Linked DNA regions of Drosophila melanogaster. Changing the gene in region 4 together with the main gene of any one other region gives a genetic interaction. Each region holds a gene or a part of one and is shown on either strand. Other genes may lie near its edges. The genes, in order: Galphas, CrebB, Pka-R1 and sNPF-R.

Region 1 (6,928 bases), on a different chromosome or scaffold from region 4:
GCAAGGTATTTTTCTTAACAAGATGAGTCCGATTTCAAAGCTAGCGTAAGTTTGCCTCAAAAGTGGGAATCCAGAAATGCAACTAAAGCGAAATGCGAGTCTGAGCTCGAACATCCATACATATATAGAGCATACATAGAATCCGAGTCCAAAGATACATAGGATACATGGATTTATCCAAAAGATAAACATTAACGACGGGCCATCGGATCCGTCGTGTCTGCCGCAGTGAAGATCAAATAAAAGTGAAAAGCAAATCCGAGCTGACTTTAGTTTGACCTTTGGTGCTTACGTGTGTTAGAAATGTGACCGCTATAGTAAAGTGTACTATAGAATGCCACCAGAGATAAGGTTTCGGAGCAGAGTGCCAAACCTGCTCAGACATTTGAAAAGTTCAAAGATATTTTCGGTCGGGCGATTGAAAAATGAAAGTCGCTCAACAGGTTTCGAGGTCTTTCTAAAATTCGCAATGTAATTTGGCCCCGCACTTATGCAAATACTTTACACATTGCTTCCAGCCATCAACATCTATAAGCCCACGGATGCCACCACTAATCCCTCCCTCATCTTGTCCGCTTCGTCCATGGAGCGGTACCAGCCGCTGGTCCAAAAGGCGGTGGAATACGCCAAGGGCAAGAAGGGGTAAGCAGTTCACTTGGGTGTTTGCCACACAAAGCTACATAGAATACCATCGTTTGCAGCTCCGTGAGTGAGCAGGTGGCCGAGGCCATGGACTACCTGTGCGTGCTGTTCGGAACGGAAATCCTGAAGGTTGTGCCCGGTCGCGTTTCCACCGAGATCGATGCCCGCTTGTCCTTCGACACCAAGAAGAGCGTGGAGAAGGCCCTGAAGCTGATCGCCCTGTACAAATCCCTGGGCGTCGACAAGGAGCGAATTCTGATCAAGCTGGCGTCCACCTGGGAGGGCATCAAGGCGGCCGAGATCCTGGAGAACGAGCACGGTGTGCACTGCAACCTGACGCTCCTTTTCTCGTTCGCACAGGCCGTGGCTTGCGCCGAGGCCGGCGTGACCCTCATCTCCCCGTTCGTGGGCCGCATCCTGGACTGGTACGTGGCCAACACGGATACCAAGAAGTTCGAGGCGCTCAAGGACCCGGGCGTGATCTCCGTGACGAACATCTACAACTACTACAAGAAGTTCGGCTACAAGACCCTGGTCATGGGCGCCTCCTTCCGTAACGTGGGCGAAATCAAGGCCCTGGCTGGCTGCGATCTGCTTACCATCAGCCCAGCGCTGCTTAAGGAGCTGGAGAACGAGACCGAGTCGGTGGTCACCTACCTGTCCGTAAGCAACGCCAAGCTGCAGGACATCGAGAAGATCACCGTCGATGAGAGCCGGTTCCGCTGGCTGCTCAACGAGGACGCCATGGCCACCGACAAACTTTCCGAGGGCATCAGGAAGTTCGCCGTGGATACTGTTAAGCTGGAGAATTTGATTAAGACCTATCTTAAGTAGATGTTCCTCTGGGTCCGCTAGCAGGTGGAGGATGAATACATTCGTTTTTGAAAAAGACAATGATTTTATACTTTAATAAACACTACAATTAAAAGAGATGACAAGATTCAGTTGGGAGTTATGGAAATTATTAAATGGGTGAATAGGTTTGGCATGCAAATAGCATGATTACTCGTTGCAGATATGGATACGAATAATAAATACTAAAAGTTTACAAAATAAATAAAATTTGCAAATTATATCACAGATAAAGATACTTTTTTTTTGATACCTTATCATAACAACTTCAAACATGTTTTCTACACGCCCGTGTAGAATATCTATGTAAGCCTGTAGAGACGGCTGCTTATGTAAAGTATCGGACGGGTGTTTCTGGATTTCGCTATTCTACATAGCTCGGGATACTTTATTTTATTATTAATATTCGCTAAAATAGCACATCGTCATTTGGCATAGATGTTTTTGGCCCAGTAACATATCTATCTACATCACCGCCCGCACTATCCGATAGGCAGACTGACTATCGATAAAAGTATCTACTTCGTTGCATCCCTAGGTTGATACATAAAATAAAAAATATATAAAAAGTGAGTTAGTACTGGTATTAAAAGTAATTTTTAAGCTACAAATTGATGAATTGCGAGCACACAGAGACTAAGAACATTGGGAATCCGGAAAACAGTGGCTGGCGCGTCGGGTGCGATAGAATTGCCTGTTTTTCAGACCCCAAAAGTCGCTCCCAACCGAGTCGTGCACCTATAGTCTTGGCCCGAAGTTGCTCCCATGAATAAAAATGTTCGGTAATTTCACGGTAAACAATAACCATTGTCGAACGCAGGGAATAGTCGCGTTCGCACACGTAATTGCCATCGCGCAGAGATGTGATTCGCCCCTGCAGCCCCTCGATCTCGACCGACCTCCCGATTTTCGGACGTCCTGCGTCCTGCGACCTGCGACCTGCGTCCCATGTCCTTAAACCTGAAATCAGTGAAAAATCGTTCGCGCATGAATATCCAAAATACAATCCCATCCATCGAATTCAATCCATTCGAATCCAAACCAATCCAAGCAGATGCGTTGCGATGCGATTCCATTCCATTCGATTCGATTCGATCCGATTCGCGATGGTATAGGTATAATATAGTTTTTCTAACCAAGTGTCAAAGAAATGGCAAATATTTCGGATTCGGAGGCACGGAGCACTACGTATTGATATATGTACATACATTTATTTATGTACATCCATCCATTCACACATGCGAACCGAGAACTTGTGTATATATCTAAATACATACGCACGTATATACGAGTAGATACACAACGGTGTGTACTCATATCTGTGAGATATATATGTGCCCGTGTCCGTGTCCGTGCCCGCTTAGATCCCGATTCCGATGCCGATGAATTTATGTACATATATTTACATTAAAATCTGCATATCTGCCATATCTGGCATATCTGCCACCACCCCCTCCGCCTATATAGGTATATGTGTAGGGTATAGTACGTTCATCTTCCTGCGACTCCCGTCGGTCGGCAATAATTGCTAGATTAAATACTCTTAATATTCGCGTGCCTACACTCATCCGTAAACCCACATACGAGCTAATCGAATCCGAATCCGCGTATCGGACCCATCCATTCCATTCGAGCCTCAACTGCAGATGGAATTATGTTGGGTTGGTATCTCTATATACATGCGTACCTGCTGCCCAGTATGCGCGAGAGTGCCACCCTCTCCGCCCCCTTCTTCACCTGTTACACTACGCCGATGTTGTGGATGTCGATGTGAATGAGAATGTGAATATGGCTGTGAATATGGATGTGAATATGAATGTGATGAATTCCAATCGTCCGACGCGAATGTCCAACGCGAATGAACGCGCGTTGCGTGGAGTAATTTTTGATTTTGATTTTCATTCCGATTCCGATGCTATGCGAGCGCTTTTGGGACCCGAAACCCAGTGACTCACGGGACTTTCGTGGGCGGCAATGTCAGCGGCGTCGCCTTGGCTTAGTAGGCACCCATTTTGGTCGCTACACTCGCGCGTACGCGGATGATATGGGGGCACTGAAGTGGATTCGGGATTCTATGCAATCGAAATGGGTTTCTGCTGGAGAATCTCAGTTAGTGGGAATAGAAAGCTCGAGGATCGTTAGTTCTGAAAGTTCTGTTACTCATTTTTCCATCTACTATACCATTGTACGAATGCAGCCTGCTGCAGAGATCCACTGAAGCGCTGAGCCAACGCCAACGGTGGTGCCACTGAGATCGGAGATCGGAGATCGCAGACCGGAGACCGACGAGCACACAAGGGATTGTGGTTTGATCCGAGGAACCCAAGCACTCAGCTATACTGGAGCAGAACGGAGAAAGCACAAGGGGTGCCGAGTCGCCCGACGCGAACCAGGAAAACCGAGCGACGTGTTGGTGGACCCCGTGGGCTGCGATGGGTTGCTTTGGGTCGCCCACCTCCAAGCAGTCGGACGTGAACTCGGAGGACTCGAAGAGCCAGAAGCGCCGGAGCGATGCAATATCTAGACAGTTGCAGAAGGACAAACAGCTCTACAGGGCCACACACAGGCTGCTCCTCCTGGGGGCGGGCGAGTCCGGCAAATCAACCATAGTCAAGCAAATGCGAATATTGCATGTCGACGGATTTTCTGACTCGGAAAAGAAACAGAAAATTGATGATATTAAAAAGAATATTCGAGACGCTATCTTGGTGAGTTCCATCCCGCCGGCCATCTAAGCCCAAACACTTGCTTAACTCCTTGCCAATCCCTTACAGACTATTACAGGAGCCATGAGCACACTTAATCCACCTGTAGCTTTAGAAAAGAAGGAAAATGAACCCAGAGTGGAGTACATTCAGGATTATGCATCTAGTAAGAGCCTCTGCCGCCCCAACTTAAGTTGTTATCAACCATTATCTGCCCCGCAGGTCCGGACTTTAATTATCCTCCTGAATTTTATGAACATACAGAAGAACTATGGAAAGACAAGGGCGTTCTTCAAACCTATGAGAGGTCGAATGAGTATCAATTAATCGATTGTGCGAAATAGTAAGTAATGCCCACCCACATTTAACATCCTGCCATCGATGTGTTGAGCCAAACGAATAGTTCTTGTAGCACTACAAACAGATTTAATTGTTTAATTTAATTCATCTCGGAGTGCATGCCAATTGTTCTGAAAGCTTAACTATGTGTTTCACTTGGAAGTGCAGAAATTCAATGCGTTGGATCGAAAGTATGCAACTTTTAATTCTAACAAGTAATCCGCTTGATGAAGTAAACTTTAAATATCGTCGCTTTGCTGCAGTATGACTATCTGAAAGTAGAACCACAACCTAAACCTACTTTCGCATTCCATATCTGTCTGTCTGTACAATAATTACTACAATATATGGGTTTTAGAATGAGTCCAATTCTTAAAAGGAGCTAGTAGTCGAAGTAGTACCAACTACGCCATGCACATAGAAGTATCGTAACGATCATACTTTTCCAAGTTGAGAAGGCTTTTTGTTTAATTCCCCGAAGAAACAAGTTGCTAAACACCAAGTCCCAATTTTCCGTAGTTTATGCCAGCTAATCCGCATTTGTACTTGTATCTAAGCTTGATTAAGGCACTGAAACCGAATTTGTACTTACTTCTACACTTGATATTCTGCTTTGAAGCTTCCTGGACCGAGTGAGCACAATCAAGAATCCAAACTACACCCCTAATGAGCAGGATATTCTTCGGTGCCGTGTTTTGACTTCTGGAATATTTGAAACAAGATTTCAAGTGGACAAAGTAAACTTTCAGTAAGTGTAATCCCAAGTGATATCGCAATATTTTAGTTTCTATTCCATTCTAATGATGTGCATTCGCGTGCAGCATGTTCGATGTCGGTGGCCAGCGGGACGAGCGTAGGAAATGGATTCAGTGTTTCAATGATGTAACTGCTATCATATTCGTAACTGCGTGCTCAAGTTATAACATGGTTTTGCGGGAAGATCCCACCCAGAACCGACTTCGAGAATCTTTGGATTTGTTCAAGAGTATTTGGAACAACAGGTGAACCGAGCAATTTGGCGCCATCTCGACAAATGGAAACTAACGAGTTGTTCTTTCAGATGGCTTCGCACGATTTCTATTATACTATTTTTAAATAAGCAAGATTTGTTAGCAGAGAAAATTAAGGCTGGAAAAAGTAAATTGTCGGAATATTTCTCCGAGTTTAACAAATACCAAACGCCAAGTAAGTAAAATAGTATAACCCATAGTAGAGGCCAATTGAGGGCGAGGGAGTCATCAGATCAACCGACTCAGATCTGGCCAAGAAATTCGCAATTCCTTTTCAAATTTGCAAACCGTGCCCAAGTTAACTTAAGAAATTTAATGGATAATGTATTTTGTCTAATTTCAAATGTGCTGTCGACACAGGTGACGCAATAATGGAATCCAATGATGACCCAGAAGTAATACGAGCAAAATATTTCATACGAGACGAGTTTCTGGTGGGTTATATCACATCTCCGTTTCTTCCTCCACCTATCTAACTAGCCTTAATCCTTAATGGGATCTCTTTCTTATATAGCGTATATCTACCGCTAGCGGAGACGGAAAACACTACTGCTATCCACATTTCACATGCGCCGTTGACACAGAAAACATTAAACGTGTGTTTAATGATTGCAGAGACATTATTCAAAGGATGCACCTTCGTCAATATGAATTGTTATAGGTTATCCCCATCGCCGTAATGCAAGTAAATAAAAATATTAATGACTTACTGTTTTAAATATAATTATCAAATGTAATTTGTATTTAAATAGTCCCTTGATTAAAACAAAAAATTCGCTGCATTTAGATCTGGTATGACCTTTCACAAAACTCAACATTAAAGAATAATAAATAAACATGTTAATAACAGACACGCTTGTTTCGATTATTTTGGCTATTCTACCAGGATGCACCTGCTTTATTTTCTATAGTCCCTTGACATGAAGCATTTTAGAGTATTTCCGCTATCAGAGTCCGTATCCATATCCATGGGCATTTACATTCACGCGCTGTCGAAGGTATCACTAGACGAGCTGGTTGAGGATGCTGAAGCTGGCGGAGGCCTTGTCGATCTCGTCGAAGTTCCGCTTGAGCTTACTGCTCCAGGTGTCCTTGTACAGGGGGTCCATCCTCACCAGGTAGGGCACCAGGTCCCGGTGATGGCCAGACCCGATCTTGCCGGCCGCGCACTGCTTCACCGAGTACTTCGTCTTGAACTCCGACTGGCTGCACTCGTAGCAGACGACCGTTTGTCCATTGGCAGCCGAAATCAATCTGGGGATCAGGGCATATGTTTCAGTGATTGGGAAGGGGATTAGTGAGTTCAGTGAGTAATGGCAAATAGGCGGGCAAGCAGGCACTTTGGCTGCCGGTATAGCCACGTATTATTCGGATCTGTTA
Region 2 (7,710 bases), on a different chromosome or scaffold from region 4:
AAAAGCGGTTTGCCAAATATTAATATTTAAGCAACTATTCACGCAAGATAAAGTTAATAGAAACGACATTCTTTATTACCTTAACTATAGTTAGGCAAATTGCCCTTTTTTTGCTTATTATTATTTTAAAATTAATAACTTGAAAAACTATTTTTATTGATGAAGCAATAATAACTTAAAATTAACAGCTTTGGTTATGGTGTTTATAGTTTGAATTAATATATGAAATTTTAAAGTTGGGTTTAAATTATTGTGATACATTTTGAATTGAATTGAATTGAATTGAATTGACCGTAGTACAAGCAAAACTTCAAATGGAAATCGATCTTAATTTCTTTCTGTGTAGGCGGTGTGTATTTTGGTATGCAAGTCCGTTTTAACAGCCAAAACACAAGCCGCATATTTCAGCCAATTTATGGTCGGGCTCTCAACGGCTATTGTGCTGACCGCAGGTGTACTCAGTACATATGTATGTACATATGTACATATGTATGTATATATGTATATAAGTGTATTAGAAGTGTAATATGGGAACCGCATTTGCAATTCCTTTCTGCGGCCACCGGGCAAACTTCATTAGCCAGTGATGTCAGCTGGCGCGCGGAGGTAATGCGGATTTGGACAGTGAGTCAGTCCACGAGGTCGGTGGTTCAGACAGTCCGGCATTTGGGGTCCACAAGGGGGAGGGGTGAGGTGGGTGCTGGGTGATGGGTGGTGGGTGGCGAAGGGGCTTGGAGGCGTTTGAGGGTTCGTGCGACGTCGTAATTAATGGCAATTATTATGTCACTCAAAGGGAAGTCGATTGAAAAAGCAGCCTAAATAATGCAAATGGAATTGGAAATTATAATTCACAGAGGGAAAGTAAACGGGGGCACAGTCATTGCACTAATTAACTATTTATTGAGAGCCCGTTGCAGGCTTCAAATAATCTCGAGTCTGTTTTTAAGGCTTTAAGGTTTTTACGCCTCAAACTTTCCGGCTAGTTTTCTCGCGATGACGTCATGGCCAGCTCATGTAGCCAATAGTTATTCGGCTGTAAAGTAATTAGCCGCGAACATCATTTAGGCTAATTGTTTTTTGCACTTATGTGAGCAGGCTGTTTTTAGTGGTAGCGAAATAAAAAAAAGAGCAACAATTTTTTTCTGTGACCAAAGTTTCTAGTTTTTAGGCGCGCTAAAATCTGCGGTTCTATAAACTATTATGAAAAAGTAATTATTTTGCGATTGCTAATTGTTAGTTTTTAGTGCTACTGAACACCTCTTTTTGTTGAATTAATAGAATAACAATACAATTAGTGATTCATTAAACGGCCAACAATGGACTTGGAATTAATTTCGGTTACAAATGGAAAATAGAGATATGAAGTTGAAATAATTTACATACTTGTAGATGAATAAATAAAACCGAGGAAAATTGATTTACAACCTTCATCTAAGTATTAAAAACTTAAAAAAAAAACCATAACAAAATGAAGTTTTAAAAGTTCCCGCAGTTATAGCCAAGCTCCGCACCACGAGCTTAGCCAAGGTTTCAACCGGTGTGGTAGTGTGGAGCCTTATTGTTGCTGTAGCTTGTTGCTCATTCCGCAGCCAGGGTCACACTTTATCGAGCAGTTTTCTGTGAAACAGCCGATGTGTGACATCGATATCAAGCAAAACATCGAAACACATCGCCCCAAAACATCGCTGTTGGATGCATCGATGTTATTTTACATCACTAGGCGAGCGAGCCAGCAATAAGCGAACGATTTTTGCGCAAAAACGGTCTTTATCAATAAATCGCTGCGCACGATCGCATTGCCGTGGAAAACGCGTACATTGTCGTTCGAAAGCCGCCAAGCCAGCGTCTTTGCCGCCAAAAGAAACGCGTTTCGGTGCTGCAAATAGAAAAAAGAACGTAAGCAACGATAACAACAGGCAGTGAGAGCGAGCGAGAACGGGAGAGAGAGAGAGCGAGAGAGTGTTGTGTGTGTGCGTGCTGCCAACTTGTCGCACCAATTCGCTGCTGTGCTTAAGTGTGCGTGTGTGTTCTGTGGGGTTCTCCCAAAAAGAGCAAACAAATACGAAACCTTTGCGCGATGCCATTCGAAACGTATCTGAAGTTTTAGGGTTCGAACTTCGATTCGCTTACTCTGCTGCTTTATACATAAATATTTATTTGGTTGGACACCGCGACTTTTCAACAAGTTGCCAGCGCAGCGTGCAACGCGCGTACACACACACACACGCGCCCAGGAAGGAGTGAGAGAGAGAGAGAGTGAGCAACGGCAACAACAACAAAAGCCTCTCAGCAGCAACGTTTTTAGTGATGTCATCAGAAAGTAAGTTGATTTTTTCGCTGTGTGCTGTGTGTTTTTCTGTTTTTTTTGTTGCCTCTTGGCACACACACAAACGCACACGCACACAAGCGCGCGCAACGTTGTCATGACGTCATTCAACCGAAATACTCACGACTCGGTGTTGTTGTTATTGTTGCTGTTGTTGTTGTTTTCCTTTGGGGGAACTTGAGTTCCATCAGTCAGCAATCGGCACCACAGCCACAATATAATCATCGTCATCACAACGCACACTCGTCATCGGCCCAAAACAAAAACGAGCCCATGCCAATCCCGCCCAGAAACAGAAATTGAAACTTAAACTGAAACGGATTCCGATCTGAATCGGTATCACAAACTGGATGACAAATTGATAAACCGTAAAACTGACAGCGTAATCCAAAAGCAATCCAATCCAATCCAATTGTAGAAACGTCTTCAAGCTGGCCAAATTGAAGCGGAAACGGTAGCCAAACTGAAGCACTTGTCGGAGAGCGTCTCGGTGCTGCTGAAGATCGCCAGGATCGGCAACATGGACAACAGCATCGTCGAGGAGAACGGCAACTCGTCGGCGGCATCGGGCTCCAATGACGTGGTCGATGTCGTTGCCCAACAGGCGGCGGCAGCGGTGGGCGGCGGCGGTGGAGGAGGAGGAGGCGGCGGCGGTGGTAACCCCCAGCAGCAGCAACAGAACCCACAAAGTACAACGGCCGGCGGTCCAACGGGTGCGACGAACAACGCCCAGGGAGGCGGAGTGTCCTCCGTGCTGACCACCACCGCCAACTGCAACATACAATACCCCATCCAGACGCTGGCGCAGCACGGACTGCAGGTGAGCATTTGGGGACCGGGTGCTTGGTGTCAACTGTCGAGTGTCAGGTGTTACGGATCCCAGCCAGAAGTGGCTACCAAGGATGTTAGTGCAGAAGCACTTCAAAGCCTCCTTTGGTATGGGAACTGAGTGTAGATAGGGATAGTTATTACCGGAAATAAGGCAGCTTAGTGTTCTTTAACTAATAGCAAACAAACAAGTACAATACTGTTTATTATAAAGTTTTATAAAGTTTACTGCATAGATTATGCATCCATCATTTTTCAATCATTTCAATACGTTTCTTATTCTACATCCCTAAAATCGATTTCGTTTACCAATGTATATATTAAATGGGGTATGACTATATGGACTACATAATACATATAATAAATCTTTATAGTTAAGCTTCACAAAAATTGATATAGACCATATAGCTGTTATTAGGATGTCGACTACACTTACACATTCACAGGACTTTTAATTTTATTCATTAGAATATCGAGAATTTGCGGTGTTTGTTAGTTACACTACAGCCTACAAAACTTACTATGTCAGTCCCGTTGAGGCCAATAACCCTGACCGCGAGCGTTTCTAATGTAGTGACCTTCTATATCCGCAGGTGCAGTCCGTGATACAGGCCAATCCCTCGGGAGTCATACAGACAGCAGCTGGAACCCAGCAGCAGCAACAGGCGCTGGCCGCCGCCACAGCGATGCAGAAGGTGGTCTACGTGGCCAAGCCGCCGAACTCGACGGTCATCCACACGACGCCTGGCAATGCAGTGCAAGTGCGTAACAAAGTGCGTAGAACGGGGAGCACGGAGCACCCGCCGAACCGAACTCTACTAATGAACTCGATCACCTCGCACACAGATCCCTCCAACCTTTCCGTGTAAGATCAAGCCCGAACCGAACACGCAGCACCCGGAGGACAGCGACGAGAGTCTGTCGGACGACGATTCCCAGCACCACCGCAGCGAGCTGACGCGACGGCCGTCGTACAATAAGATCTTCACCGAGATCAGCGGTCCGGACATGAGCGGTAAATCCGGGGGACGATCTCTCCACCAGTCACACACCCACTCGAACACATCTCTGTCGCTCTTTAAACCACCACATCGCCTAACAATCCAATGCATCGTCGAGCTGATCGCCACTCATCGTTCATTTCACGATGCACTTGCGCCTGGCAATCTTTCGACCATTCCCAGCAACTCTCATAACGCTGGGGAATCGGTCAGTCCATCAGACACCATTCCATTCTCAGTGTTTGTAACCCCATGATCGATCACCTTTCCCGTTCATCTTGTACAGTAGCTGTTGGCTAAGTAACACTGTTAACACTCGTTGTAGTGCGCTTTAGCAAATGATCCATATCGAAATGATTAGACGAGAGGAATGTACTGTAAAATTATACTCTTGCCACAAAAAGTGCATTTACAATTTTATCAGAAAAGTCTAAGGTCCAAGTTGCTCACTGGATCCTTATGAAATCTATATTGTAAATATACAAAAGGAAAACATTTGCAACATTCATTACGTTGCTATTGTTTATAAAGCAATATATGGTTCTCCTAGTGCAATAAGATTCTCTAGCCAAAACCTTGCCCAGCTAAAAAGTAACGAAAATGTGGACAGAATAAAAAAAAAGCATTAAATATACATTTCCGAAGCTTTCCATTTGAAACTATTATTTTCAACCAGAACAGAATAGAGGGTTGTTTATTTTCTTACATAGTTTCTTAAAAATATAATGAAACAGAGGAAAGAGGTAGAAACTAATGGAACCCAGTTAGCTAACATTGTGTTTTTGTTTGGATCTCAACTGTATTTGTACATACAACACATAGATTGTGAAGGACTGCCAGCCTTGTCCTTTGTACATCATTAGGAATGCCATTTAGGGCAGCCGTACAAGCGGGAACCCCGCCCCTTTCCACCACCCCCATTATCATTTAGTTGATGTTGTTGTTGGTGTTGCTTTAACGAAGTGAAAATAATGAAAGAAAAACAAAAGGCCGGAAAACTTGGCCCGAGAAGGAGCAGAAAAAGAGGACGCGTTGTAGAGATTCCACGATTTTCCAATTCTCCCCTGTAAATAAACCTCTCACTCGCACACACACACACTCGCGCACAACTTCACCAACTCACACACACACTCACACATATGTACATAGACAGGGAGGGAAGACAGCAAGAATAATGATTAATATTTACAATAATTTAAGCATTTGAACTATTGCTGCTGTCTTCTTGCCCACAATTCTCTATCTCTCTCTCTATCGCCCTCCCCTCTCTCTCTCTTTCGCCGCCTCTCTGTCGTTGTTGTTGCTGTAATCGCTGTTGTTGTTGTTGTTGCCGTTGTTACACACACAACCCATTATGCCAAATATTAAATAGTAATGAAGAAGTACAAGCAAACGTCTCACCTAACAGTACTTTAACCGTTAATCAAAAGCTTTTCTCCACTCTCTTTGACTAACCAATCTACCTATCTCGCTCGCTCGCTCGCCGTTCTCGCTCGCACACACCACTCAAGTTCATAAACCAACCAACAAAAAAAAACCAATCCGAATTTTCAAAAGCTTCCAATTGAAAACTGAAAAATGGAAAATATGTTTTCTTATAATTTTTTTATTGTTGTTTTTTTTTCATTGTTTTCTTTTCGAACGCCTTCCTCCACCCAACCCACAAAAATAAAAAAACGATATATAAAATTCGATAATGTTCTGAACAACAACTGCAACAACAACAACAACAAACGACAATCAAAACCCCAAACCGAACTCGAATCGGAATCGAACTCGAATCAAATCGAATCGAACCCCATCCCAGGCGCATCGCTTCCCATGTCCGACGGCGTGCTCAATTCCCAGCTGGCGGGGACCGGAGCGGGGGGCAATGCGGCGAACAGCTCCCTGATGCAATTGGATCCCACGTACTACCTGTCCAATCGGATGTCCTACAACACCAGTAATAGCCTCGCTCCAAAACTAGCCTTTAGTTGCGACTTGGCAGGACCACTCGTAAATCGAACTGGAATCGAGGGTCTATCAAATTGAAGTTATCGAGTTATCGAGCTGAATGTAGGCGATGAATCAGCGTCCATGGAACTGCTTCATCGCCTAACTGCAGCATATGGACTCAAATGATTGTAATTGATAACTTTGATAATGCTCCATTCCATGCTGGCATTATTTTCGTTTTTATTCAAATTGTTTAGTTGAACATGGATGGTGTGTTCAATCATTTTTGCATGCAATTTGTGTTGACATCGAAGTGAAACCAAATCCAAACCATCAATGACTATGAAATCCAGTTCAGTTCGAGTTACAGAGAGTTCCGCTTTGGGAGATGTGCACACACACATCGCTTACAGCCAGCTGAATGACTGATTATCCAATCCTTGAAAACTTTTTCCTTTTGCAGACAACAGCGGGATAGCGGAGGATCAGACCCGTAAGCGCGAGATCCGGCTGCAGAAGAACAGGGAGGCGGCGCGTGAGTGCCGGCGCAAGAAGAAGGAGTACATCAAGTGCCTGGAGAATCGAGTGGCGGTGCTAGAGAACCAAAACAAAGCGCTCATCGAGGAGCTGAAGTCGCTCAAGGAGCTCTACTGTCAGACCAAGAACGATTGAATGTGGGCGGGGCTCTGGCGCCGCCTGCGCCTCCGCCTCCAGTTACGGCTACGGTTACGGCTACGGCAACGGTTACGGTTACGGTTACGGCGATCACTGCGCTTCGCTCCGCTCTGTTCTATTCCGTTCTGTTCTGGACAACAATGGTGGATCGATCCTTGCCGCTGGCCGGTCGCATATCATGATTTCTATACGCATGGGATGCTGCATGTGGTAGCGTGTACATTAACTGTGGGGATCGTGTTGTTGTTGTTGTTGGGATGCAGACGGGCCGAACCGGACCAAACCTAATCGAACCGAACCGGATGGAAGGGACAGAGGGTCTATCTGCCGGACACACAATGTAATTATGTTTGTAATTTAAAGATGTAATATTATGTTTACGATTTAGTTTATGCCCTAGTTTACTCGCTAACTTAACGATACTGCAGTTTACCTACGAACATGTGTTTCCGTAACCTAAGACCTTTCACCACACCCCCCCGCATGCACACCTTACCTTACCTTACCTTACCTATTGTAATTAAATTTTTTGTTTTACCTAATTCGTAATCGATGCAGCAGAACGTGCGTGTCTAGCGAAAGTGTTTTTTCTTAGCGAATTGTTGTTGTGTGCCCATATGTCAGGATATAGTCAACCAGCAGGTTGCCCAATCCACCAGAGTCCTTTCTAGATGGGTTTTCTGGGCCTACCAAATTAAAATTGTTCAAAAGTCGCTAGTTTCACTTGATTTACATATGCGTGTGCGTGTAGTATGTATATATGCGTGTGTGCCGGCCAATGTGTATCTGTAGAATTAGTCTTAAATCGAATGGATGAATTGATTGTCTGGGATTTGGGCATGGAGTTAAATATTCAAACACTTTGTTACGTAATTTTAAACGAACCCTCTCCGCTCCCAAAGAACCTGGTTAAGCAGACAATTCTGCACGCTACCGTGAATC
Region 3 (4,892 bases), 730 kb from region 4:
GAAAAAAACAAATTTTAAAGGGTGGGCAAACGAAATAATTTATTTTTAAAGGGTGGGCAAACGTTAAAAATGAATTTTAAAGGATGGGCAAACGAAATTATTTAGTTTTAAAGAGCGCAGGGCAATCGAAATTATTTATTTTTAAATGGTGGGCAAACGTTTTTTATTGGAAATTTTTATTTTAAAGAGGTGGGCTAACGAAATTGGGTGTATTTTAAATGTGGGCAATCGAAAAAAAATTTTTGTTAAAGGTTTTTTAAAGGGTGGGCAAACGATAAAAACTAATAATAATGGTTGGGCAAACCTTTTTTGTTGATAATATTTGGTTTTAAGAGATGGGCAAACGATTTACTCTCTGATTAGACCGAGGTAAACTTAAAAGCCTTATATTTTCTAAAGTATAAATTTTTTCAAAATTCTAAAGGGTGGGCAAACGTGGGCAAACGATGTTATTGCGATTTAAAAAAAAAAATTTTGAAAAAAGCGAAATTTTTGATTTTCGAAAATTTTCGAACTTTTTCGAAAATTCATATCTCAAAAACTGGACGTGGGCAAAAAAAACTAATTGGTGGGCAAACATGGGCAAAAAATGGGCAAACGATTCCAGCTTTCAAATTTCAAAAATTCGATTTTTCCGACCCCAGCTTCTTTGAGCTCATAAATTGCTTTCATCGGACCCACTTAAAAATATCACAGAAATCGTTTTAATGCGATGCGAGTGCATAAAAAGGAAATAAAAGGTAGTAAAATAACAATTTAATCAAGTAAACAGAGCATAATTCGAGGCCATATTTCGGGGAAATTTTTCATTGGAATTGTATGTTAAATGCTTTGCGTTCTGGAAGGAAACAAACAGATTGGATAGAATACGAGTGTTGATTTCATTTAAAATTGTTGATTTTCATTAAAAAAAAATGTTGTCAATTTGTTTTTCCTCAAGGAGACTATTTATATAGCTTGGAAGAAAAATGTATCCAGTTATACCTTGATGGCAATTCGATAATCGGAAAGTAATATTACTATTAACAACTTTGAGTTCTAATAAATATCTAAAAATGAGAATTGTATACCTTTCAATGGGATAATATAGAAATATGAAGGAACGGAAGAAGAATGAATACTTGAATGTTAAAGATTAAGGATTCTTAAGCGTTAATGCAATGGGACCCTTTCTCTTCCTCACTATAAAAACGCTATTGAAACCAATTCTTTCCGAAATATTTACCAAGTTAACCGTATTTAACACTTCGAATTTTACCCACCATTTCGCTGGTCGAGTTCCTGTCACTTCCGCTTTGGCACTTTTCCAACCTCGTTTGGCCAACACAATTGATTGTTGTTTGTCTGTACTTTATGGCGGACACTGGGGACAAAGTGTCCGGCGTAGTTTTTGGCACGATTCCGCTGTTAATCAGAAGCCGGCGTAAACAGCGCCGGACGGAGCGATGACAGCCGTAAAAGCGGCATTAACACGACCGTTAAACCGGACAATTCGATGATCGGAGCAGCGGAATTCGCGTGGCCATCAATCAGGCAAGAAAGTCGAAAAGTAACGACCGCAAAAGGTGAATGGTAACTAGTAAATTGAGCAGTTAAGTTGGCGAAAAAACTAAAATTGGGAACAACGATGGGCAACTGACGGTGGCCAAAAAGTGACTGAGACAAACGAAAGGACGAAAGCAAACTCTAGCAGCCAGACACAAACACAATCTCGACGACGACAGGATGACCTTCACCAACACGCCCAGCGAAGGCAACCTTTCTATATATACACAAATATATACATACAAATACGACTGGCCAAAAAGTAAAGTTTTTCGCACACCCGCCCACCACCTCACACACATACACTCGCACTTGTGACGCAAGTCCTGGCAAAGGGAAAAGCTTTTACGGGAGAAAAGGGCCAGAAGTGCTAAAGGGAAAGCGAAGGGAGCGCTTTGATTTCGTTAGAATTCCCTTCGAGTTTCAAGTGCAAACTCGACATTTTGTCGCAAAAAGCAGCTCGTGGGGCATTATGAAATGCACTTTCTTTAAATTAGTATATAGTTTAGGTTACTATATTCTACTGTATCCCAAAAATTAACCCCTTTCCATTTACCTTTTTGCAAAAAATAAATTTATAATGTTTAAATAAAATGTGAACATTTTCTTCCTGTTCGTTCTTTTTCTTCAGATACGAAAGATATTTTGAAAGAATTAAAAGGCCTTAACGTAAAACATAGCAAACTTTTTCATATTTTATTAAATTTTTATATTCTAAGTAGGGTATTAGGTGCTCGCGGAATAAGGTAAACATTTTTTTGCATGTTTTTATTTGTGTTAGAACTAACGACATCGTGATTTGTAGTCACAAATCGAATCAACAAGACACCAATTTCAAACGATTCAAAGCTTTCTAGTATGCGCACACTCCCACACTTTAAATCTTTTTTCCGCCAAAAGCTTTTCAGCACAAATTCCTAGTGATTTCCTACTGTTTTCCGGAAATTGGAAACTTTTCCGACTTTCCAACTTACTTCGCGTTCCCGCTGGCGCTCAAGCTCAAGTTCCTGTTCACGTTCGCGGGCCAGAGTGGAGAGATGAATCTGCAGGCTGCGATCGCTGACGGCATCCTCCTCGGGAATTGTGGTGCAGGAGGTGCGAACATGCCGCATGCGATGCACTGCATCCAAGCTCAGCCGATGTTCGTGATCATCGCGGAGCAGAGCATCGAACATGGCCACCCCGCCATCGATGCTACTTTCGCGCAGGATGCGTCCGCCGCGTCCACTGCAATGGGGACTCTGCTGCTGATTCTGCTGATGCTGATGATGATGGTGGGTGGTGGCCACCACGCCCTCCGAAAACGAACGGATGCGCATGGCGCCGTTGGCATCGGTGGTCAAAGCCACCGAGCGGAAGCGATCGATGACCGCATCCTGGATGCTGTTCACACTCAACTGGTTGCCCATGGCGCGCGGAGGCAAACAAATAAAAAGCAAACGAACGGAGTGAACTAGGTGGAAGCAGGATGCTTCTGCACGGCGTCAGGATGCTAATCCAACTGACAGCGGGTCCGGCATTCAACAGGCAACTTGCCCCAGAGAGTCCGGCGCACACACACAGGCGTACTCAAAATCAAAGTTGGGAGAAAAAGGGGTAAGGAAAGTCGCTTGGCAAGTGAGAGGGGGAACAGGACGATGTGGAAAGGACCTCCACAGGTGCGCTGCTCTATTTACATTGCAGCATTGCAAGCTTTTGCTGCAGCCTGTCTCACAAAATAAACTTTAAAGCTTCACAATGAACAGAGGGAATACAGTTCTCCGAAGCAGGAAGCCGAAAATAAAGCATCCGTGCTGGGAAATCCACCTATGGATGGGTTTTTTTTTTAACAATCCGCTCGAAAATAGACCGCAAGTTGTATTGATTTTCGTTTAAGCGGCAGCATTAACCAGCAAAATGCCGCTTGTTGCTTACCAAGTGGTTGAAACCCCGGAAAGGAACGTAGTCGCACAGGATAATTTAAACACCTTCCCTCACCAACGACATTTCTGGTATTTCTTACATATTTTGTTCAGATTATAATATAACATTTAGTATTGCTTTTGTAAAATATTTGTTCATTTCATTTCATTGAAAACAAGGAAGTACGCTATTCTATTTCGTGAATATCAGATACGCGTTACTCAGCTAGTCGGATTGCAAACAGAATATTAAAACCTTTTTCAAGACACACGGACGGACGAATATGGCCAGCTCGACTGATACTGATCAAGAAACATTAAACATTTTCTCCTACAATATCTTGAACGAATATAGTATACAAAAATAACCATGGAAATATGGCGCCGATCTGCGAAATGTACTTTGAAAACAGCCAACTTGGTTTGAAAAAAGGAACTTTTTCTTGATCATAGTAGAATTGAGCCTTCATTCAAATCCAATTTCCAGGTCTCCACGCTGAAGCCAGCATACAAACAGTTAGTACACTACCTTTGAACGAGGAACAACTAAAATATTTCGATAAAATTGAGTACAGTTTTTTATACATATATAATTTTTTTTTGTATAATTCTGAGTAACAAATTTGTTTGTGAAAATTTCTGTCGAGCAAGAATTGGTTGCAAAATGAGTAATCTGAAACAAAAGGATAGCAAGCCGGAGGTGGCAGTAACAAAATCAGTGAAAACCTATAAAAAATCAATTGAATATGTTAATTCCGACGCCTCCGACATTGAAGAAGATATCAATAGGGCAGAGGACGAATACGCCTCATCGTCTGGCTTTGTTAATTTTCTGAGGGACTTTAAGAAGCGCTACGGAGAATATTACTCGAATAACGAGATAAGACGGGCTGCTGAAACCCGATGGAACGAAATGTCATTCCGTCATCGATGCCAGTATTCTGCGGTAAGTTAGGTGTCGAATACAAACGAAATGCACATGTATGCAATCGTAATGCACTTCCGCAGGAACCATTGGACACTTTTCATGTAGAGCCCAACAGTGTGAGCAGTCTTCAGCGTTCTAGTGAGGGCGAGCACAGAATGCACTCTGAAATAAGTGGCTGCGCAGACACTTTCTTCGGTGCCGGTGGCTCCAATAGCTGCACTCCAAGAAAGGAGAACAAGTGTTCCAAGCCCAGGGTGCGGAAGAGTTGCCCCAAACCACGGGCGAAAACCTCGAAGCAACGTCGCAGTTGCGGCAAACCGAAGCCCAAGGGCGCCCGACCCCGGAAGGCATGTCCCCGCCCCAGGAAGAAGATGGAATGCGGCAAGGCGAAGGCAAAGCCAAGGTGTCTTAAGCCCAAGAGCTCCAAGCCCAAGTGCTCGATGTAATCGGAGGTTTCATCTTCCACACCCTTTCCTACACCACTTTTCGGCCATTTTTATTGATCAGGAACCAGTCAA
Region 4 (4,703 bases):
TGGCCTGCATTAGGCTGCCCCGCAACCAGCTTGCTTCCCCGCGTGGCTCCCAGAGGACGCTGAATTATTGACAAAAGTTAAGTGAGCAACTGCACGGACCGAAATCATAACCAGACATCGACATCACCAGAGGTAAATTGAAAGGGAGCCCGGAGTCGAGCCGAATCGGGTTGGTTTGGGTTGGTTTGGGTTGGCTGGCTTGGTCTCTGGAGAAATTTGAAAATCCTAGCCACAAACGACTGACTGACTGACTGGCTGACTGGCTGACTGGCTGTCAATGGGGGAGGTAACTAGGGACACCGACCACCCACTCGAAAAACCAGATTACAGGGCGGCAATAGGAGCTAGACCAAAGACCAAGTCAAAGGCAATTCCATAGCCAACTTGGCAGTGCTGGCCTTGGGAATGGCAATCGTTTTATGGCTCCTTGGCTGCCCGGACTTACTCTGGTTGTACGGGAACTGAGAACTGGGGCCTCCATCGCTCAGATTGGCCGTAAAAATGTCACCTGTGACTTGCGACTGTGAGAAATCAAATAAATTCAAGCAGCTGGCCGGCTCTCCCCCCTCTACGCATTTCTTATCAAGCCCTTTGCCTCATAAACACACGAACATATAATGTGTATTTACATACACGCCTTTAGCCTTATGCATTATTTATGCAAAAGTTGGTGGCCAATAAAATGGCAAACGGTTTGAAAAAGCATACAAGCCAAGTGCTTGGAATGAAAATATCGGTTTTGGTCAGCGGTTCGACTAAAAAGTACCCTATCTATACTTTTTCAATTCAGTAATTTCAGCATATCAGTAAATATTTAATAAAAACCGTTTAACCAGCCCGGAATAAGTACTTCGCTTCCATTAAAGTTCCAAAATAAATATTTTGTTAATCCGAAAGCAGTCATAAGAAATAACATACGTTTTCCAACCAAATGCCAATGTTTTGCTTTGAGTTTTGGCTCTGCAAAAATATGTAAATGTTTTCATCGGAATGTGCACATCGCCATTACAGGGAAAAAGGAATTGAACAAATATTTCTCTAAAAATACAGTTGAGCAGAACTTCTATTTTGAAAAAATATTTGGTTTCGGCTAAACTTGCATAAAATTGGGAAAATATTCTACATTATAATATAAAACTGACTTCAATTAGCCGCTCACCTCGTTGGCTTACAAGTGGATAAAACAAATATTTGCAACTTTTACTTGAATTTTTTGGGTTCCAGCTGCTCAATTTGTCACTATTTCGTGGCCCAAAGTTGATTTAAATGCAAATGGGGGAGAATGGAGCTTGAGCAAAAGAGGATAATCGGGTGAGGATATCCAAGACACCATCTTAGCAATTTTCGCCCCAATTGCGAAATTTCGGCGACCTGAAATTGCCACAAAGACCAGTTTTAGTGGCCATCAGGCAGCTTTGGCGCGGTCTGATATGCAAATTGAAATGCGTTTTCCTTTTACTTAGATCCATGGTTGCTCCATTGCTTCCCCACCTTTGAACTATCGTAGGAGTACACCAACTGATGCTAGAATTGCATATAGAATTGCTTCGGGCTTGCGGAATCCTTGAAATGAGCACGCGTATCACGTATACGCAGTGTGCGTCTAAAGATGATCCGATTGAGGGGACTAACTTGGCTGAACTTAAACTCCGCAGGCAGAGTTGAGAACGAGTTTGCATGTGACACCAATGTTCCGCTAATAAGTAAATCAAAGCATCAATCATCCTAAATCACACGATTATCACTTATGACATCTGCGTCCCAAGACAATAATAATGATTAACGTTACGTATACAACGCAGCTAACTTGACCAATTTCCACCTGAACAACATGGTCATTAGCATGCGCCCTTGTTGGGCAAAGCAATCAATGCATTTGTTTATCGAATCAACAATTGATGGATGGCTGGCTGGCTGACTGACTGAATGACTGGCATCCATGTCAGAGGGGATCAATTAGAATCAATCGAAAGTTGTTCGGACTGTCTTTTGTTTATCGTTTCGCCCTACACTCGAGGACCTATTAAAATTAAAGGGAAATTTGCATTTTTAATTAAGGAACAGTGACGACTGAGCCATTTGACTTGGCCATAAAATGTAAACGGACTACGTGGCTCCCCCACCACCACTTTCGATTTCCTTTTAAATGCAATTGGGTTTTCCTAATGTTATCTTCTTTTGCTCTTGCTTTCCATTTAGCCTTCTTGTGCTGTTCTCCATTTTGCTGCTGCTAACTTATTTGTTTTGTCGCAAAACAATATAAAAGTTGAATGTTTTTTTCGGGACCTCCAGTAGGAGGCCCACCAGTCTTTTTTGGCAGCGGAAAAACTTTTCTTTGTGGGAGCGAAAGAAAAGGCCGCAGGAGAAAGTTGACTTGAATTCAATTTGTTCGGATCGTAATGAATATACTCGGGGTTATACATACATCGGTCTGGCCAAAAAACATGTCAAACTTATTTTCGAATACATTTGAGCGTTCCGCCCATACTCACCCCACACTGCGGGATGCTTTAATTTAATGATTTAATTTCAAACTGGCTTCCAGTAAGTTAATCTTTAACTCGCACTCTGGCCGTTAATTATTATTGTTGGGCATTGAGACAAACAGCGGAAAGGCGAAAAGTTTTGGCCCGGCTGGCCACGGGAAAAAGTACTAAACAGGGGGTATAAATAAAAACCGAAAGCTGTCGACCGCCGACGTGTCAACACCGCGTATACGAAATGTATATAAATACAGGGAGGGGAGAAACGGCTCGGAACACAAAAACCAAAAACCGCAAGGATGGAGGCACTCGAGCACGTTTCGGCACTTGTTTGGTCTCCCTTTCACTGCCTCGCTCCCACTTTCGCTATCAGTTCTTTACCGCACAATGAAAATATGTTTCCTTTGCCTTCCGCCGAAGAAAATTTTTCCTCTGTTTGAAAGTCTTGTTTGGGTTTTTCTTTCGGATTTTTCTGCCGATTTTCGCGTCCGTCGTCAACGAAGAATCACAGGCAACTGAACGGTCCAACTTCGTGCGGCTAAACGGCCGACCAACAGGTTACTTGCTGATAAGACCTCGTGAAGAGCCGAGCAACTCGAGTCGTTTCCCTCGCTGCGTATACGTTATATGCAGCATCGTCGGGCTATTACGTATACGCAGCGTTTAACTCACTCAATTGCAAGGGCTTTGAGTGGGCGAGCCAAAAATTGAGTGACTTTTCGTGTCACAAGTGCTGAGTGATTCATGTCAATTATCTGCAAGCCGAGCAGAGCTGAGTGGATGACAGTTTGCGCCCTGAAATGAGCCGTAAACCGCGGAATTCGGTAAGAGGAACTTCATAAATCCATCGCTGAAAGAACCACTGATGTCATGTAAAAGTTTATAATTCGGAATTTGTATCTAAAACCTTAAAGATCGATTTTCTTTCTGCTGAATTTGCAAGGAACTTACCGGCTCGCTAATATTATTAAATACTTTAGGTCTTCACAGGTTACTATATTTAAATAAAGAACTTAAACCAATATGAACAAAAATGTATCTCCTTCTTGTTTGCTTTAATGGGGACCCAACAATTAGCTAATCAAGCATTATATTTCATTTCTTTCGCACACAAGCAGATAGACCATAAATGTATCTCATCCAATTATCGCCATCAGCCTGTGCTTACCTTCTAAACTTCCTCATATATGTATTTACTTCCTACGTTCGTCACCTCATTTCGTCGCTTCTCGCAATTTTACACCCAGCTCTTTCGTCACTGCAATGGTATATCTAATTGTCCTTTAAAGTTGTAACAACTTTAAAACTTTTAAAACGAAATATTGATTTATAAAACTGATAAATATTTAAAATATTTTAATAGCTACGTGAAAAATATTCTTAAGTAATTAGGAAATAATTTTTTTAAATAATGAATACATTATTATATATATTATATTATTATAACTTTCTCACCACATCATGTTCCAAATAATAAAGAAAACCCAGAATGGGTATCACGTAATCCGAATACAACCTTAGTGTCCTTATTTGTTTTTTTATCTGTCGCCGGAAAGTTCCACAGGAAATCACAAGCAGTCAAGGGCGTTCGGAGAGGGCTACAAGGGATGTGCCAACTGATGCAGCTGCGATTTATTTATTAAAGCCAAGTCGACAAACAGTTTACACTTGGGACGAGACTCCTCCTCCGGAGCCACCGATTGTCGTCCCTTTTCCATCGTCCTCGGAAGAAGGCTTCATATTTTTAAGCACCTCACCTGACACATTTATGCTCTGCCAGAAGTGAAGTGAATAGTGGCCGCTTTTCAGAATCCCATCTCCCTGCGAAGCCTCACTCTTTAGTCCTTTAGCCGATTACCATAAACAATGGCAACTTTCTACCTGAGACGACTCATCCTTACTTTCAGACTGCGACTCATACTCTTAGGGGAAATTTGTGTAACATATTCAAGCGCTGCTTTCATGAATTTTTATTTACTTGCCAGGCATCTTTACCAACACGCACTCCACATACAAGCATACATACAGGCAGGCCAGTCGAACGCCCTGTTGACATTATCAAGTAAATCCGTGTTGCGCATACGCCTCGTAGGCATTTTAAGGAAAAACTCGAAAGATAGCACACTTCGGCAAGCAGATGCTCATATAGCCTCTCTGTAAATCTGTATATGTTGAATAAGAGCACCTTAATCCATCCCTTACGATTATTCATGTGACAGT

The links.
Region 1: of sNPF-R (region 4) and Galphas, changing one suppresses a phenotype caused by changing the other (phenotypic suppression), as found in Drosophila melanogaster (one study listed by BioGRID).
Region 2: of sNPF-R (region 4) and CrebB, changing one suppresses a phenotype caused by changing the other (phenotypic suppression), as found in Drosophila melanogaster (one study listed by BioGRID).
Region 3: of sNPF-R (region 4) and Pka-R1, changing one suppresses a phenotype caused by changing the other (phenotypic suppression), as found in Drosophila melanogaster (one study listed by BioGRID).

The regions. Positions count from the first base shown.
Region 1 is NT_033778.4:23,940,539-23,947,466, forward strand, and holds Galphas (G protein alpha subunit s), read left to right. Parts: upstream 1-1,999; 5' UTR 2,000-2,063; exon of another isoform or gene 2,064-2,276; intron 2,277-3,438; exon of another isoform or gene 3,439-3,691; 5' UTR 3,692-3,926; coding exon 3,927-4,202; intron 4,203-4,268; coding exon 4,269-4,365; intron 4,366-4,421; coding exon 4,422-4,542; intron 4,543-5,157; coding exon 5,158-5,286; intron 5,287-5,359; coding exon 5,360-5,539; intron 5,540-5,598; coding exon 5,599-5,723; intron 5,724-5,899; coding exon of another isoform or gene 5,900-5,908; coding exon 5,909-5,982; intron 5,983-6,062; coding exon 6,063-6,209; 3' UTR 6,210-6,398; downstream 6,399-6,928. Other genes in the region: Taldo (transaldolase), read left to right, coding at 519-642, 702-1,476; orcokinin, read right to left, coding at 6,553-6,802.
Region 2 is NC_004354.4:18,369,287-18,376,996, forward strand, and holds CrebB (Cyclic-AMP response element binding protein B), read left to right. Parts: upstream 1-1,697; 5' UTR 1,698-1,896; exon of another isoform or gene 1,897-2,320; intron 2,321-2,744; 5' UTR 2,745-2,846; coding exon 2,847-3,146; intron 3,147-3,747; coding exon 3,748-3,927; intron 3,928-4,000; coding exon 4,001-4,169; coding exon of another isoform or gene 4,170-4,411; exon of another isoform or gene 4,412-4,810; intron 4,811-5,962; coding exon 5,963-6,100; intron 6,101-6,556; coding exon 6,557-6,765; 3' UTR 6,766-7,531; downstream 7,532-7,710. UniProt on the Drosophila melanogaster protein: Isoform E is a PKA-dependent transcriptional activator. Isoform J is a direct antagonist of activation by isoform E in cell culture.
Region 3 is NT_037436.4:20,817,097-20,821,988, reverse strand, and holds the start of Pka-R1 (protein kinase, cAMP-dependent, regulatory subunit type 1), read right to left. Parts: upstream 3,025-4,892; 5' UTR 2,955-3,024; coding exon 2,520-2,954; intron 1,659-2,519; exon of another isoform or gene 1,266-1,658; coding exon of another isoform or gene 1,263-1,265; intron 1-1,262. Other genes in the region: Mst77F (Male-specific transcript 77F), read left to right, coding at 4,111-4,392, 4,455-4,820.
Region 4 is NT_037436.4:20,086,006-20,090,708, forward strand, and holds the start of sNPF-R (short neuropeptide F receptor), read right to left. Parts: upstream 3,003-4,703; 5' UTR 2,865-3,002; exon of another isoform or gene 2,493-2,864; intron 1-2,492.